Bombyx mori: one gene and its partner. The protein of the gene in region 2 binds, or shares a complex with, the protein of the main gene of each other region. Links are inferred from orthologs where the notes say so. Each region holds a gene or a part of one and is shown on either strand. Other genes may lie near its edges.

Region 1 (4,529 bases), on a different chromosome or scaffold from region 2:
CTGGCTCCTCTCTGCTGTAGTATAGGTGGAAGACAAGGTGTCAAGGTGTGTGGCGCATTTACGTTGTAGATGTCTATGGGTTCCAGTAACTACTTAACACCAGGTGCGCTGTGAGCTCGTCCACACATCTAGGCAATAAAAAAAAAAAACAACACTTTGTACGACACATTATACAGTTTCTAAGCTCCAAGAGCTAAGGATGAAAGTTTTGCATAATGCAACATGTTCACCAGACCTTGTGCTGACAGACTTTTACTTTTTCCAAAGTTTGGACAACTTAAAATTTAATACCCGAGAAGCCGTTTAAAATGCCTTTAAAGAGTTTGATAGCACCCATACCCAAGTTCTTCAGTAAATGCATTGAAAAATTGGTAGAGATGCATCAATATCATGCATATTTTTATTTATAGAAATAAAAAAAATATTTATAAAAATATTGCTTTCATTTTCTGTATGCTTAATGGCAATTTCACAGGTAAATTACCTATTATTTATTTGGTATTTATGACTTTATAAGTATTATTATATTTTATAAGTATATATTAAGAATATTTTAATATTTAACGGCCGTCTGGTGTAGTGGTAAGTGACATGGTCACTACACAAGGGGGTCGCGGGTTCGAATCCCGCCAAGGGAAGATATTTGTATGATAAATATAAATGTCTTTTCCAGGGTTATGGATGTGTATTAAGTATATGTATGTGTATAATAAAAATCTTACATTTATTTCCGTTATCTGGTACCTGTAACACAAGTTCTTTACGAACTTATCACGGGACCAGTTAACGTGGCGTGATAGTTAGTAAATATTTATTTATTTATTTATTTATAAGCTAATGATCAGACGAGACTGCTTGTAACAAGGGAATATTTGTACTGGAATTCCTGGTAAGAAACAATTAACAAATTTCGATTTTTTATATATAAACCATCTATCTATCCTAGGTTACAATGATACAATGTGCATATGAGGAGCAACTGTATGATTTACATAAAGGATACTCCTGGCTATGCTCAGCTCTATGCTGTCACTATTAAACATTCAATACAAACTTAAAGAAGAATAGATTTATACTGGGTCATCATTAATTGTGATACTACAAAATATTCTGATTAAAGTTTATAAAATATTAATGACTAAATGTACATCAACTTATAGGGGTTTTAGCATTAACCATTTAGTTGAACTTTACTTTTTCTATTTTGTTCCACTATCAAATTGACAAAGAAGCCATGCAAACTGACATATGGACATGTTAATTAGATTTACAGTAGTAACAATGTCTGACATTAAAATGAAAAGACATTTTTACAGTACATTAATTTTTCCAATATTAATATATTGTATATATTATCTACCCATGCAGGTTCCACCATACTGACAGTTATTATGAAAATCTATTAATTTTGAATGTTTTATTTTATTTCTAAGCTTTTTTTTAATGTGAAAGTTTATTGTGAACCTAGATATTTAATAATATGTTTATACCTGTCCCAGAAAATACAGCATAGTTGCATAGCACACGTATATGAGGCATCTTAACTATTATTATTCAAATGAATCCATTAAGCTACTATCTCAGTAAATCCTTTTATTATCAAACATGGCATACAAATCAGGAATCAAATTTGCAATTATCATGTTTTATATAATAGCTATAAAATTTAAAGATTCAAATAACTGAATAAAGTATTTTAGTAACCAAGTAAAGTATTTTAGTGACTTCTCATATTATTTTGCTCATAATTATTTAAAATTACATATTATGAACTTGCAACTTGCTTCAAAGGACCTTCTAGATACTGAGCAATAGCATTGATTTTTTCTTTCAGAATGCCAAAACCAACAGCCTCATTCGCATAAAGACACAGTAATAAATTGGCAACTTGTGTGATTGCAATTTTCCCATTTAAACAATCTACTAGTATTAAATGTAGTCCATCTTCTTTAAAAACATTTCTGCCGTGTTTTTCATAAGCTGACCAGACATTACTAGCGATTGCAGCAGTGACTCTAGCATCCTTATCATTGTAACCAGAATAAGCTAGAAGTGCACCTTGATGATTCAACAACCTAAAATCAAGAAGCACCTGTAATTTTGATGTTTAGTGTCTAATAAAATATGTAACCAAACTAAATGTTTTCATTACAAAGTGTTTTCTACTCCTCCTGTATTAGCTTGACTTAAAACTTCTGTTAATGCTTTCGGTTTTAGCATTTTGAAGGCTTGGTGCTGTTGGATTTACATGAAAATGGCTAAGTACGAAGTTAAACTTGAATCGTTTTCAAGTGTTGATTTGTTATTATTTTTTTTTTTTTTTTTTTTTTTTTTTTATTGCCTTTGTAGGCAGACGGGCATACGGCCCACCTGATGGTGAGTGGTTACCGTCGCCCATGGACTTCAGCAATGCCAGGGGCAGAGCCAAGCCGCTGCCTACCGCTTAATACTCTCCACAAGCCTCGTTTGAAGAAGGACATGTCATAGCGCTCGGGAAACACCGAGGAGGGGAGCTCATTCCATAGCCGGATGGTACGTGGCAAAAAAGATCTCTGGAAACGCACTGTGGATGACCGCAGTGGCTCCAGGTAGTATGGATGAACTCTACTCCGGTGGCGGGCGGTGCGATGGTAAAAACGAGATGTTGGTATCATCTCGAACAATTCCTCAGAGCACTCCCCATGGAACATACGGTATAAAATACAGAGGGAACCGAAGTCCCTCCGCAGACCCAGAGGCTCCAAACGATCCGAGAGAATGGGATTATCGACAATCCGAACGGCCCTCCTCTGTATGGAGTCAAATGGAACTTAATTTTCGACGTCAACGATCTTAAATTTTTAGGATAATTTCTATTTTCCACTTTTACGTAGGATTTGACAACTATCAAAATACCGTCGCCGTCAAATATATTAAGAGTATAATCTATGGTCGCCGTCCGTGTCTCAATGTGTGTATTATCTATGCATCCGTGACAATCCGTGTAATCCACTGAACTTGAACTTTTTGGCGGGAACGCGAGGAGTGAAGTTGTGTGATTTGTTTTATTTTGTCTATTTAGTGTTTCTTCGGGTTTAAATATTTATTATAATTAATTAAGCAAATTACCACCCTTAAGTTGGCCCCTCTTATTGGATATCTTTATTTTTATCGCTCAGATTAGTTAGTTTTTATCAATTATCGTTTGTTCAACGACTATTGGTAATTGTTCGATCATAAAAACAATTAAATTCCCAATTATTAATTATTTTATATCTAATAAGCAAACCATCACCTCACGCCTACATTGCGCATGCGCCGGTTTTGTCAGTCAGCTGGCAATGGCCCTATTTACTAGCGTTTTGTTAACAAGTGCGTTTTAAATTAGATATACTCTATAGAGTATATCTAATTTATTGCCCTTGTAGGCAGACGAGCATACGGCCCACCTGATGGTGAGTGGTTACCGTCGCCCATGGACTTCAGCAATGCCAGGGGCAGAGCCAAGCCGCTGCCTACCGTTTAATACTCTCCACAAGCCTCGTTTGAAGAAGGACATAATATTAAGGGATCATATCTCTTATAAGGTTTGGCACTCTTTAATACGTACACGCGAGGCATATCTAAAAATAGAAAACAATACGTAACTGATAATATAAATATTTACCAAATAATAAAACAACACATTGATAAGTTTGAATAAAAGTTCTAGACAAAAACATCATGAATAAACCAGATTTTTACCAACAAATTTAAAAAATATTGTTTTAACTACATAGACAACCCTACAAACCTGTACCTATTTGTACTTAGGTCGTTTCCGTTTCTCTTATTCTCATCCCAATTGACCCCTATTTCGTTGTTATTTGTACCTAAGACGTCCCCAATATCCCCAAAAACAACAGATTTTTACATGTATTTTTATTTTATCAAATACATTAAATCCAATAATAACTGAGACTTACCTTTAATATATATGATGGTTCAAACACTAAATAACGTTTATAAATCACAGTCGTCTTCTATTATAATCAAATAAATAAAAGAGAGCAAAGTTTCTAGCACTGAAATAATTACCACCACAGAAAGTTAATTTGAAACGCGATTTTTTATAAGTTAGCAGCTATTATCATGCATATTCAGAGTTGTTTTGTGAACTTTCAACATTCTACTATTAAACTACAAAAAATGGAAGATTTTGCAATGAATATAAAACTAATATTGAGCGTCGAAAGAGTTTCCTGTTTTTTTCCCAATTCGCCTCTCAATCCCTAATCGCCCCATTTTACGGTACTTAATTTCAATAGTAGTTTGATGTCACTTCCGTTGCATACCTACGTGACGTTCTGTAAAAATTTTACCTCCATGCGCCTAAAGAAGTTTCACTTCAAAAATTATTTCAAATGGGACAGCCGCTTAGGAGGAGTTCAGTGGCTTAAATACGTACAGTAGAATTATTTATAATAAATATTTGAGCATAATTTTAAGACTTCCAGAGAATTGAGAAAATTGACATTATGATTGACATTGGCAAATGGCAACACTGGTTG
Region 2 (4,995 bases):
TAGTTTGGAAATAACTAAACTGATATGATATTTTTTATCACTGAAATAATTAATTTCGTAAAGATGAAAAACTACAACAGTAGGTAATAGTAAACATTTTTATTATTAAGTGAACATTCAGCTTTGTATAACACCTTAAAAATAAATACAAAAATAAGTTAATTATTTCAGAAAATATTAGTTAAATAACTACACATCGGCATTTTATTTACAGAATGCATCCATCCAATATTTAAGTAATGTTTCATCATACTGAGCTACACCGAGTGTTTGTTTCAATTTAACAGAATCTGTTTTGTTGTCTGATGATTTCATGGTTGATTTTACAGCTTGTGCTATTCTGGAAGTAACAAAGACAAAAAAACAAATAGAAAAATTCTATTCAAAACCCATATTTTAGTTTTTTGTATCAAACCAATGGACTGAGTTTTTCAATTTACCCTTGCCATTGTAAAACCAATGATAAGACATGTTGGCGAAGAACTGCTTCATTAAAATGTTCATTTTTTATTGCAATTTCAATTTTTTTCATCAGCGTTGGACCTGGAATAATTCATGTCATAATAAATCATATCATGTATAGCTTTTATCATTATATAACCCTTTAGTTATTCGTGAGTACTGAGTTAATTTCAATAGTAATAAACTCACAATTAACAGGTAAAGTTTGCATCCATTTGGAAATAAAATTACCATGTTCTATTTCAGATATAATACAAGGGTCTGTATTCGGTTTTTTATGTTTGGCTGATGAATCAAATTCTGGTAGTAAACTCCTGAAACTTATTAATATTTCTTCTGGATCCCTGAAATTGGTTTGCATTTGTATCTGAAACAAATAAAAAAAATATATATTGAATAAATGCCACCAATGAATTGAATTGAGAAGTTTGGTATATGTTAAAAAAAGATTAGCTTTAGAATCTATATACCTTTTAACTGCTGTAGATTGGCAGACCAAATTATAGACCATGTAATAGTGTGTACCCATTTGTTTGGTTACTTGCATAAATGGCACTACTTGAGACATGTTATTGTTTTGGTAATATTAGTTAATTATAAACTATTCCATGCTCTAAACAGGTTTAAAAAAGAACAGCAACAAAAAAACAGCAGTACAGATTCTACAGAATAATGTTAAACTAATACTAAATACCAGCTTGTTCGTTTATATTGTGAATATTAATAATGTGATTAATATAATAAAAAGTTCAAAAACTCACATTCACTCCGGTCAATGTACAGAATAACATTACTCTGAACACATTATTTGATAACATAGACTCCAAAACTCTCATAGGGATGTACTTTGCTTTACTTTCAATAACACTTGAGTTTGACTCCAGAATTGGGATAATGGGACTTATCTTTTTTAATAAATCTTGACTGGTATATAGATTTTCAGAAAACACACGTGCCCCTGCCTTTAGTATCCATGAAAAATGTGAGTGCAACAGTTTGAATATTTCTTTGTTTCCTGAAAACATTGATTACTGAGATGCGTGTAGTAAGCAGTGCAGGTTTTGTTTTGATAACAGATTTTACAAAATGTTTGTTTTAGAAAAAAAACTGAATAGTACCTACCTGTCAACTGAACAAGTGACCTTGACTGACCAAAATCATTTCTCCCTGTTCTTAACCTCAATGCCCTCTGTGAGCAAATTTTTTGTTCCTCATCAAAAACTGCAACAGCCAATTTTTGTAACTCTGCAGCTATGTTCTGAAAATATTATTGCAACAATGAAATAAGTGCACATTCATGGATCAAGCAGATAATCCATTCAAAGCAGTTGAGTTTTTTTTGGAATGGATTTTTTTTAAGAGTGTATGCAGTAAATGGTATCTTTTGCAGTCATTTTTGAGACTTCCTGATCACCTAGGAAAAAATGGTCTATGAATTTAGCTTGCTACGTTAATATCGCCATTAATGCACCTTGAAAAATGAGTTCTAAGTCCCAGTTTTTAATGTACAACAGCTGATTCACCCTTTAATTTGAAATGCATTACAGCTTTACAGCAGAAATAGGCACGATGTTAGTACCTGTCAATGTAGGCCCACAAAACGCCCTACCAGTAATAAAGCAATAAAAAAAAGAAAAAAAACTGCAAGTCTGCTTTTTGTATGGTGATATTCCTTCACTGCAGAAGTCATTCATGAACTTTTGTAAATTAGGTTTTTTATTTTTAAATGGGTATCTGTCAGTGGTATTTGAATACCAAGAGTCACATCATGAAGGACCGATCACATGGTAAAGATATTAAAAAATTGATTGTTTATTGTTAAAATAATAGATGTAATCAATTTTTCTTAGAATAATAAGAATTTAATATAACTTTCTTCTTTAGTGATTCACAAATATGTAGCACTTACAATAAACCTACTTTCATGTGTTCAGAGAGCATTGGAGTAATGTTCAAGAGCAACATCTTGTCTTTCATAAGCACCAGTATAGAGAACCATCGCTTGAGGCCTCTTGCTCGTGTATCGCACAGCTGGAATGTGAAGCTTAGCACATGACCTTGTGCTTCACTAAAATATACTATGCCACCATCCTTGCTCCAGTTTACCTAGTTATATAAATTTCATTAGATATCAATATTATAATAATAAAGAAATGGACGAGACCAATTAAAGTAAGATTGTATTACATTGTTAAGAAATTTATTTATGTACAAATATAGGTGATTATATTGTAATATATGATTCTGATACTAAGAGATAAGTTATTGAAAACGGTCGAAATATTTCTGCAGTAACAATTTAATGTAGGTAAATCCTATGAAATATACTTACTTCACAGGTAATACTTCGAATAGCAGCTTGTCTCAGAAATGACGTAACGTCGGCACTGGGTACAGATTCTCTGCTACAATATATGGTGCCATCGTCGTCTGTAGATTTTAAAACAGTTTCAGGACCTAACGAGGCACAGCCTGTACACTGAACACTTGCTTTGGAAGGTTCCGTAATGTGTTCGTCATTATCAGTTGTAAACGTGCAAAATAAAGATCGCGGTCCGTGTGCTTCACAGAAATGACAAAGGGTAAGGATAGCATTCATAATATTTATGGTAACTACAGCATTTATAATAATATCATGTACATATTGGATTAATTACGTTAAATTATAGAAGAGTTGTTGACATTTTTTTGACGGCAGGTGACATACAGCATTTTTTTTTACTTAAAATATTTTACGGTCTGATAGCGAGACTTTTAAGCCAAGTCTTATTTTTTCTCGTATTCTGTTATTTGAAAAGTTATTTACAGCAAAATGAGGTTAAGTGGATTCATTTGAGTCTTCAATAAATTGGGATGAAAGTTTTCCTTTTCTATGTATTATAAAAATAAAGTACAAATAGTAGTTTTTGATTTTATAACCTTAGCGATGACAACAATCGCGTCGTAAGGAACCTATTGCCGTCTGAAAGAAAGAAGAAAACATTGAATAAAATTAAAAAGAATTAAACAAATTTTAAACAATTAATGAGCTAACATTTTTACGACTAAGCTTGAACGTTAATTTAACAAATCCACGACACTTGGCTCAGGCGCTCCCAGCATAATATTCTTGCCTATTTCTGCCGTGAAGCAGTAATGCATTTCGGTTTGAAGGGTGGAGCAGCCGTTGTACTGTTACAACTAAGACCTTAGAACTCTTGTCTCAAGGTGAGTAGAAGCATCTACGTTGCTCCGGTAAGCTCGTCTACCCATCTAAGTAATAAAAAAAGCATAGATATTATATTATAAAATATAAAGATCTTATACAAGGAACTGGTATTTTGGCAAAATTTTATACGATTTATATTACATACTAGTTGGCTCGGCAGACTTCGTAGTACCTTAATCGATAAATAAAATACCTAAACTTTTGTATTAAATAAACTTAAAACAAACAAAAGGAATCCGTCCAACAGGGGACACATCAAAGGAAAACAAAATTGTCATTTAAATTTAATTTCGAGAATTTTCATATTTATCTACATTTTAAACCTTCTCTGGACTTGTAAAGATAATTCAAGACCAAAATTAGCCAAATCGGTCCAGCCGCTCTCGAGTTTTAGCGAGACTAACGAACAGCAATTCATTTTTATTTATATAGATACCTAATAGAAACTGGTAAACAGATTGCCCATCATTTAGATGCAGGTATACAACCCTGGTTTCCTGAAGCTACTACTACCTCTGTAGTAGTGTTACGGTCAACTATCTTCCTGCCCAATTCCCTTGTCTATTCTTAAGTACTAATGCTTGCTAGTCCACACTAGCGGATACCAATCTTGCGTATACCTCTCGCGAGGCAATGGTCTGTTTAATTGAGAAGGATAGGTTGATGATAGTCATACCTATTTTAATGTGAGGGCTGGCTTTGTATAATGTCTAAGAAACACCTATGATGATCCTTTGAGCCAAAAAGCTAGCCTAAATTGCACGAGCCACAAACGTTATTGCTTCTTTGTTCGCAGCTAACTTGAATTAAAATCGAAGTTGTTGGAACGCCTACCCCATGGCTAAGTTGTATTGCGGCATAAGAGTTGTCATATTATGGTGGTCATGTTAATAAACTATAACTACTGAGTTTCTCGCCGGATCTTCTCAGTGGGTCGCGCTTCCGATCCGGTGGTAGATTCTGCGAAGCACTGCTCTTCCTAGGGTCAGTGTTAGCAACTCTCCGGTTTGAGCCCCGCGAGCTCACCTACACACGCTAGGGTAAGCTGAAATAGCCTCTCAAGGCTATCAGCATAGGTAGGAAAAAAAAAAGTTGCAAAATTAAGGCAAACCACGAAAAAAAAATGGACACATTCATAGTTTATTTTTAACTTTGAATAAAACATATGACTATAATATTATTTGGGTAAATACACAACTTCGTTTACTTACTATAATATATGTCTACTGAATCAGCAAGCACTATATTATTAGAGTATCAGCAATTTTAACAAAAAGGGGTATTGGTTCTATAAGATACACGTTAAATATTGAGGAATGTAGTGA

The links. The genes of interacting proteins can lie anywhere in the genome.
Region 1: folliculin (region 2) and roadblock domain-containing protein 3 share a complex: the UniProt entries of both Homo sapiens proteins name them as parts of the lysosomal folliculin complex. The link is inferred for Bombyx mori from reciprocal best matches to the Homo sapiens genes FLCN and LAMTOR2.

Annotation. Positions count from the first base shown.
Region 1 is NC_085123.1:7,142,155-7,146,683, forward strand, and holds roadblock domain-containing protein 3, read right to left. Parts: upstream 2,892-4,529; 5' UTR 2,810-2,891; exon of another isoform or gene 2,809-2,809; intron 2,309-2,808; 5' UTR 2,221-2,308; coding exon 2,153-2,220; intron 2,076-2,152; coding exon 1,766-2,075; 3' UTR 1,057-1,765; downstream 1-1,056. UniProt on the Homo sapiens protein: As part of the Ragulator complex it is involved in amino acid sensing and activation of mTORC1, a signaling complex promoting cell growth in response to growth factors, energy levels, and amino acids.
Region 2 is NC_085117.1:9,050,070-9,055,064, forward strand, and holds folliculin, read right to left. Parts: upstream 3,183-4,995; 5' UTR 3,062-3,182; coding exon 2,795-3,061; intron 2,569-2,794; coding exon 2,383-2,568; intron 1,721-2,382; coding exon 1,585-1,720; intron 1,478-1,584; coding exon 1,224-1,477; intron 830-1,223; coding exon 652-829; intron 544-651; coding exon 441-543; intron 341-440; coding exon 205-340; 3' UTR 80-204; downstream 1-79. UniProt on the Homo sapiens protein: Multi-functional protein, involved in both the cellular response to amino acid availability and in the regulation of glycolysis.